Mus musculus: one gene and its partner. The protein of the gene in region 1 interacts with the protein of each later gene in a biochemical or structural test. Links are inferred from orthologs where the notes say so. Each region holds a gene or a part of one and is shown in the gene's direction. Other genes may lie near its edges.

Region 1 (4,575 bases):
GTGAGGAGCCAGCTCCCTTCCTCATAAGATCCTCATACTACTGCTCCATTGGAATTGGGGTGCCCAAGAGGTGCCAGCACCCACCCAGCTTCAGTACTGTGTGCAGAGGGATGGAGATAGTGGATTACACTGGGGGGGGGGGCAATAGGAAGATTGTTGAGTTCTCTTTCTCAGAAGTCCAGCAGATCTGGGTGAGGGCTGGGACTGGTTGGTCCCTCTCTTCCCACAGGTATCGGAGCCCCCTCTTGTTCCCAGGGGAGCCTAGGAGCAGCTGGGCCAAAGCCCAACCAGGAATTTTTCCAGGCTGGTTCCTATATCCAAGGGTGGGTTAGAGGTGGGGGTTTTGGAGAGCTCTTAAGGAAGACACTGAGGACATGGAGAAGGGGACTTAGTAGAAAGAGAGGGGACAGAGCCACACGGGCTAAGTGTGCAAGCATAGAGAAATAGCCAAGGGTTTTAGGGAGAATGGGAGGACAGAGTACACCCCTGAATTCTGTTTAGAAGATGAACCGTAAGCCTAGGCTAGAACTGAGGGAGCCTCTACTCCCACCCTTCCGAGGGTTGGCGGCAGCGCTGGGCAGCTGGCCTACCTACCTTTCTGAATGCTAGGGTAGGTTTGAATCACCATGCCGGCCTGGCCCGCTTCTGCCCCCATTGGCACCCTGGCTTCAGTTCCCTGGCAACATCTCTGTGTGTGTGTGTGTGTGTGTGTGAGAGAGAGAGATCAGGAGGAACAAGGGCCTCTGTCTGCCCAGCTGTCTCTCCTTCAGGGCTCTGCCAGACTACACAGTGCATACGTGGGTTTCCACAGGTCGTCTCACTCCCCGCCACTGACTAACTCCAGAACTCCACTTCCCGTTCTCAGTGCCACAAATTTGGTGCCAAATTCTCTCCAGAGAAGCCTCTCTGGAAACTTCCCAGAGGATCCCATTCACCCCAGGGCCCTAGCTCCTGATGACTGCAGATCAGACAAGGGCTCAGATAAGCATACTCCCCCCCCCCCGTAACCCCCTCCCCACATATAAACCTAGAGTTATGCTTCCGAGGTCAAACACGCAACTTTTTGGGTGTGTGTGTATGTCAGAAACACGCAATTATTTGGGAGCTCAAAGTCTGCCGCACTCAAGAATCAACTCTCACCCCCTTTCCAAGACCCGTGCCATTTGAGCAAGAGTTGGGGTGTGCATAATGTAGTCACTAGGGGGCGCTCGGCCATCACGGGGAGATCGTGAACTTGGGCGAGCCGAGTCTGCGTGAGGGAGGACGCGTGTGTCAATGTGAGTGCGTGCATGCATGTGTGTGTGTGTGTAGTGTGTTTGTGAGGTGGGGGAGAAAGCCAGGGGTCACTCTAGTTGTCCCTATCCTCATACGTCCCTGCCAGCTCTCCGCCTTCCAACCCCTACTTTCTCCTATATTCCTGGGAAAGGGAATTGTTCTTAGACCCTGTCCGCATATAACCTCACTCTCCTGTCTCCCCTGATTCCCAATACTCTGGGATTCCCAGTGTGTTCCTGAGCCCAGTTTGAAGGGGTGCACAGATAATTTTGAGGCCGTGGACCCTGGTAAGGGGTTTAGCTTTCCATTTCGCGGTAGTGGCCTAGGGGCTCCCCGAAAGGCGGTGCCTGGCTCCACCAGACCGCTCCCCGGGGCGGGTCTGGGCGGGGCTTGGGGGTGGAGCTAGATTTCCTCTTTTTCTTCCACCGCTGTTACCGGTGAGAAGCGCAGAGGCTTGGGGCAGCCGAGCTGCAGCGAGGCCGCGGCACTGGGGGCGAGCTGAGCGGCGGCAGCGGAGCTCTGTCGCGAGACGCAGCGACAAGGCAGACTATTCAGCGGACTCACCAGCCCGGGAGTCTGTGCTCTGGGATTTGATATTCAAACCTCTTAATTTTTTTTTCTTAAACTGTATTGTTTTACGCTTTAATTTATTTTTGCTTCCTATTCCCCTCTTAAATCGTGCCAACGGTTTGAGGAGGTTGGTTCTTCACTCCCTCAAATCACTTCGGATTGTGGAAATCAGCAGACGAAAGAGGTATCAAGAGCTCCAGAGAGAAGTCAAGGAAGAGAGAGAGAGACCGGTCAGAGAGAGCGCGCTGGCGAGCGAACAGAGAGAGGGACAGGGGCAAAGTGACTGACCTGCTTTTGGGGGTGACCGCCAGAGCGCGGCGTGAGCCCTCCCCCTTGGGATCTTGCATCGGACCAGTCGCGCTGACGGACAGACAGACAGACACCGCCCCCAGCCCCAGCGCCCACCTCCTCGCCGGCGGGCTGCCGACGGTGGACGCGGCGGCGAGCCGCGAGGAACCGAAGCCCGCGCCCGGAGGCGGGGTGGAGGGGGTCGGGGCTCGCGGGATTGCACGGAAACTTTTCGTCCAACTTCTGGGCTCTTCTCGCTCCGTAGTAGCCGTGGTCTGCGCCGCAGGAGACAAACCGATCGGAGCTGGGAGAAGTGCTAGCTCGGGCCTGGAGAAGCCGGGGCCCGAGAAGAGAGGGGAGGAAGAGAAGGAAGAGGAGAGGGGGCCGCAGTGGGCGCTCGGCTCTCAGGAGCCGAGCTCATGGACGGGTGAGGCGGCCGTGTGCGCAGACAGTGCTCCAGCCGCGCGCGCGCCCCAGGCCCCGGCCCGGGCCTCGGTTCCAGAAGGGAGAGGAGCCCGCCAAGGCGCGCAAGAGAGCGGGCTGCCTCGCAGTCCGAGCCGGAGAGGGAGCGCGAGCCGCGCCGGCCCCGGACGGGCCTCCGAAACCATGAACTTTCTGCTCTCTTGGGTGCACTGGACCCTGGCTTTACTGCTGTACCTCCACCATGCCAAGGTAAGCGGTCGTGCCCGTCTGCTGTCGCCGGGCCGTGGCGAGCGCCTCTCCCGCTTGGGGACGTGCGTGCGTGCGAGCGCGCGCGTGGGGGGCTTCGTGCCCCACGCGGGTCCTTGGGCACCGGGCGCGAGGCGTCCCCCTCTGTCGTCGTACGTGGAGGGGGAGGGGGTGCGCGCTAGGTGGGAGGGCGCCAGGATCGTCTCGCCGCCCACGCGGGCCCTGCCCACCCACCAGAGTCACCGCACGTACGATCTGGGCCGAGCAGCGGAGGGCGGGAGCCAGAGGAGGAGGCTGAGGGGGCTGGGCTTGTGCCGAGGCTGGCGGCAGAAGTTTGCTCCGGGTCGCGGGTCCCCGGAGAACTGGAAGTCCGGGCAAAGGGGGCGGGAGTCCGGAGCCCAGCGGGCATGCCTGGGGGTGCTCGGACCTTGGACCCGGGGAGGGCAGAGATCGTGGAGGGGGCAGGGCGCGGGCGACCGAGGGGGCTTTGCTGTCACTGCCGTTTGGGTCTCTGAGGCCCTTGCAGTGAGTTTGGGGAAAGTTTTAGGATGGATTGCTGCGGGGACCCTCTCCCACCGCTCTAGCTTGTTGGGCCACCTGCACCGCGCCACCCCCTCCCGTCCCCGCTCGCGTCCCGCGCGGTGCCCGCCCTCCCCCGCCTGGCCGGGCGCGCGCGGCGCAGAGCCGATTACATCAGCCCGGGCCTGGCCGGCCTCGTGTTCCCGGAGCCGCGGCTGCCGGAGCCCGGAGACCCGGGCGACGAGCGGCGCCCCTCCCCCCACCGGCCCTCCGCGAGGAAGGTGACCTCTGGAGGTATCCCCAGCTCCGGGACCCGGAGAAACTCCCATACCTCTTTCCTCCGTTCCCAACTTCTACCCGTGCCTCGCGCTAGGAAGAATTTCCCGACGCCCCTTCCCCCTTTTCCCCATTTCCTGCCTGGTGTAAAAAGAGAAGCCCTTCCCACCCTTTTATATTTTCCTTTTCTTTGCGAAGACTCATCGGACCTTTCCTGGACCCAGGGTCCAGGAAAAGGACGGTGACTGTCAGGCGTGGGGGTGCTGAGGCCCACCCTCGGGTTCTTTGTGGAAACGCTGACCTAAGTTTTGAGTTGGTGAAGGTGTGCTCCCTCCTCCCCTCACAGCTGTGCTTCAGGTTTTTTTTTTTTTTTGCGGGGGGGGGGGTGGATCAACGAAGGGTGGACTGACATCACCCCATTTCCCACCCCCACCCCCCCTTTGGAAACATGACTTGATATTTGCTCTGACAGGGGCAGCCTGGAACCAGCCCTTTCCCATACCTTTGGCAGGATCCCTTGTCAGTCAGTATCTCTCACACACTTTGTCCTGGCAAAGCCCGATGCCCAGAGAGCAGGTGGTTTAACTGCGAACTTGCCCACCCAACTTGCCTACCAAAGGGTCCTTTCATGCTTATTTCCACGAAGCTTCAGTTGTAGAGCCTTCTTGGAAAGGAGGCAGAAGGAAGGAGAAGGGCAGGTGTCCCTGCCACCATCCAGAGTTCCCCAGACCCTGGCACAAAGGCCTTGGTTCTGGGCCTCCATGTGGGGAGGAGGATAGGAGTGCTTGGCCACAGTGTGACCTTCAGAGGCCCCCAGAGAAGGACACCTGGCCAGTCCCTGCCTTAGAACCTCCCCATCTGGGAAGGGGTTCAAAGTTTCTGTTCCCTTTCTCCACGGGGGGCTAGACAGAAGAATAAGGAGAATGTCATGGGGCTATTGAGGGGGTAGTGAGGGCCTACAGTGCAGAATCCAGGGCC
Region 2 (3,810 bases), on another chromosome or scaffold:
AGCCTCCCACTGCAAGAGAGAAATGGGATCATCTGAGACAAGCAGGCATGCCTGGCACGGAACTGTTAAAAAGGAACAGTCTAGATGAAAAGAGCCCCTGCCTGCTAACTCTCATGAACATAGGCACTCACGGAATTTTCACTGATTTTTTAAAAAAAGACTAGGACTCATTCATGCCAGAACTGGCTTTAAGTTCTCACTTGTAGCTGATGAGAACCTTGAATTTCTGATCCTCCCGCCTCCACTTTGGATTGCTAAGGTTATAGGCATCTGCCACAATCCCCAGATTTATGATACTAGAGAATGAAGCCAGGACTTAATGCATGCTAGGCAAACATTGCACAAACTGAGCTGCAACCCCTTCCCTGCACTTTTAATAGTATTTGGAAGCTAGGCACAGTGGTGCTCACTAGAATCCTGGCCCTCAGCATGAGGACCACAAGTTCAAGGCCAGCCCAGGCCGCATAGTGAAACCCCTTCTCAAAAACAATGATAATGATGAACTTTGCAAATTGGATGTGAAAGCATTTTTAAATTATTACTACTTAAGTAAAATTCCTAATTTTGAATGTAAAGGATTCCCATTGGGTTTTGTGCTTTTGACTATAGGAATAGATCTGTGTACCTCTTTATAACGGATTCCAGCCTCTTCCTTTGTTCACTGAAAAAAAAAATGTCATTTCAGCAGGTCTTTTACCCAGCAGCTGCCGTGCTCAGCACTGGAAATATATGTACAATTGGCTTCCATATGTGCCTCACATTAAATAACACATTTGCATAAACTCTACCTATATTTACCTCTAGATAAAAAGATTTCTATTTTAATTATAGTACCTAATATAACACAAATGTTATGTGAATAGTCCCTACAATGTGTTGTTTAAGGGGAAAAAACATTTGTTCAATATGGACATAATTTGGAATATTTTTTTATCTGAAGTTGGTTGAACTCAAAATTTTGGAACTCACCAACACAGATTGTGCATTGCACTCAACCATTTTGCCCAAAGGACTTGAGCATAGACTTTTTTTTTCATAATGTTCGTGGGTGCTGAAGGAGGATAAGGAGGAGGACCTGATGTCTAGTTGTAGGTAGAAATCATCACATTGTGGCTGGAGGGGTGCCCAGGGGCAGAGGCATGCTGTAAGAGCAATAGAGAACCCAGTGAGGACTCAGGAAATGGTTCTATAGTAAAGTGGCTCTCATGCAAACACAAGGACCTGAGTTCATGTCTCTAGCACTCATAAAAAGCCAGGTGTGGCCTTGTGTACTTATAATCCCACTGTTGGGGAGACTAGAGGGTCTTTGGCACTGATGGTCAGCCAATCTAACCAAATCAGAGACTTAAAGTTCACTAAGAGACCCTGTCTTAAAACAAAGTGGAGAACTGATTAAGGAATGCCCAGCATACATTTCTGATCATCACACACACACACACACACACACACAGAGAGAGAGAGAGAGAGAGAGAGAGAGAGAGAGAGACTCACACATGACTCAAACAGTCAGGGAAATTTATGGATCCATTCACTGACTTAATAAGAGCATCTATGAGAGCTTAGGTTGATTGCCTAGTAAGGAAAGGGCGCTGCTTACTAAAACACTTAGACACTACTGAAATAAAGCATAAGGACATGCCCACACATGCACAGTGAAAAGGTACCTCGTAGGTTTACAAGCCCATAGGCCAGCAGAGGAAGCACCCCGCTGCCTTCCGAGACCTAAGCATCACATTACATTTCCAGTTACATCATGTGAGGTGTGGGAGTTTGTGATTCCTATTCATAGAGCAAAAAGTGGCCCACAGGTTGTGTGTTTAGACCAGGTGGAAGCAAGAACAGTCGTTCCCACTGGGGGTGATTAAAGCAGAGACAACAGCAAGTCCTTATGGCACCACAAACATCACCATTGCCAAAACAGCATGTTCAAATGAGCCTCAGATATGCAAACTTACTTCTTCTTAGGCCGGAAGCACAGCAAACAGAAGCAAGCTTGCAAATGAGAATCAAACTCTTGGGCACACACATAGATCATTAACATGAACTAAAGGGAAAATAAGAACAATTTTTAAAGATGTTTAGGAATTGGCAAGATGGCTCAGTCAGGAAAAAAAAAGTGCTTGCTTTGTAAACACAAGGATATGAATTCATTCCTTAGAATCAATCTTTTAAAAATCAAAAACAAACAAACCAGGTATGGTGGCTTACACTTGTTTTCCTAGCTCTAGAGACAGGTGTTTGCTCTGAGTTTGCTGGCCAGCTAGCCTATCCTTTTTTGGAGTTGTAAGTTGTTAAGACTCAGTCTCAAAAAAAAAAAAAATGGTTAGCACCTGAAAAATAATACCTAAGGTTGTTCTCTATCTTCTACAAGCATAGTATGAGCTCCTGCACACATGCATGTACTTGACTATAGAAGCAAGCATGTGCATACATGTGTGCACACACAAACATACACAAATACATATATATACATGCATCTACACACAAGAATATGTATGTGTGTATATATATGCATACATATATATATGTGTGTGTGTATATATATATATATATATATATATATATATATATATATATGTATATGTATATATATGAATGAAAAGTGTAATAGAAAAAAAAAACACATTAAGCAGCCAACAGGTTGCTTCCCAGAATCAGTATCTCAGCTAATGCCCTGGGTATCTGAGTGTACATGGATGTGCTTAAACATTAGTCAGACACTTTCTTCAAAGTCTGTAGATAGACTGTGCTTAGAGTCTACCTTTGATAGTATGAAGACAGATATAATATGTAGTCTAGTTCCCTGTGATACCATGATCTGGGTAAACAGTACTCAGAGTCTATTTAAAGCCTCTTTGAGCATGGCCACCAGTGCCTATGGGGTTCCCAATAATTGCATCTGCTTTCTTCACTGGCTGCTTGGTTCCTTGGTACCCAGCCCAGAAGAATGTGTTTCTGGGTAGTACTTGGCAAGAGAGAGAGAAAAGATCTGTAAAAATTTTGCTGGTCTCCCTGACACACAGTTTTGCCTCAGCAGGAGATGGCAACTTCATCTATTCCCAAGCTGATGAAAATCAGAAAGGCAAAGTAGCCCGCCTGGTGAGCCCTGTGGTCTATTCCCAGAGCTCTGCCCACTGTATGACCTTCTGGTATCACATGTCCGGCTCTCATGTGGGTACACTGAGGGTCAAACTACGCTACCAGAAGCCAGAGGAATATGATCAACTGGTCTGGATGGTGGTTGGGCACCAAGGAGACCACTGGAAAGAAGGACGTGTCTTGCTGCACAAATCTCTGAAACTATATCAGGTATGCACAAAAGGAGGGCTAAGGTTTTCAGGACACTGGGATAATGTGTAAAATTCTTTACCACCCTAAACTCTTGCCTCCATAATGTTTGGGTTGGTGACATATCCCACTGTCTCTTAGATGACATCAGGAAAAAATACTCCTCATCATAACTTATTTCTGAGATGTCATAGATAGCATCCCTTTTGTTTAAATATTTTCTTCCTTTTTAAAGTTTATCTTTTGAAAACTGCATGTTTGAATCATCTCTACCACTAATAGAGAAGAATAACTAACTTTTGTGCAATTTCATGAATTTAACTTACATGCAGTCTCATGAACTTATGCCAACACTTCAACTGAGAGAGTGTAAACATTGATGCTGAAGAGACAGAACTTGAAAATATCGTGAAAATCATCTCTTTTTTTTTCAGGTTATTTTTGAAGGTGAAATCGGAAAAGGAAACCTTGGTGGAATTGCTGTGGATGATATCAGTATTAACAACCATATTTCTCAGGAAG

What was found.
Region 2: the proteins of Vegfa (region 1) and Nrp1 form a complex in vitro, tested with the Homo sapiens proteins (8 studies listed by BioGRID, with this or other methods). The link is inferred for Mus musculus from reciprocal best matches to the Homo sapiens genes VEGFA and NRP1.

Annotation. Positions count from the first base shown.
Region 1 is NC_000083.6:46,029,521-46,034,095, reverse strand, and holds the start of Vegfa (vascular endothelial growth factor A), read left to right. Parts: upstream 1-1,718; 5' UTR 1,719-2,205; coding exon 2,206-2,805; intron 2,806-4,575.
Region 2 is NC_000074.6:128,494,783-128,498,592, forward strand, and holds part of Nrp1 (neuropilin-1 isoform 1 precursor), read left to right. Parts: intron 1-3,037; coding exon 3,038-3,309; intron 3,310-3,722; coding exon 3,723-3,810. UniProt on the Homo sapiens protein: Cell-surface receptor involved in the development of the cardiovascular system, in angiogenesis, in the formation of certain neuronal circuits and in organogenesis outside the nervous system. Mediates the chemorepulsant activity of semaphorins.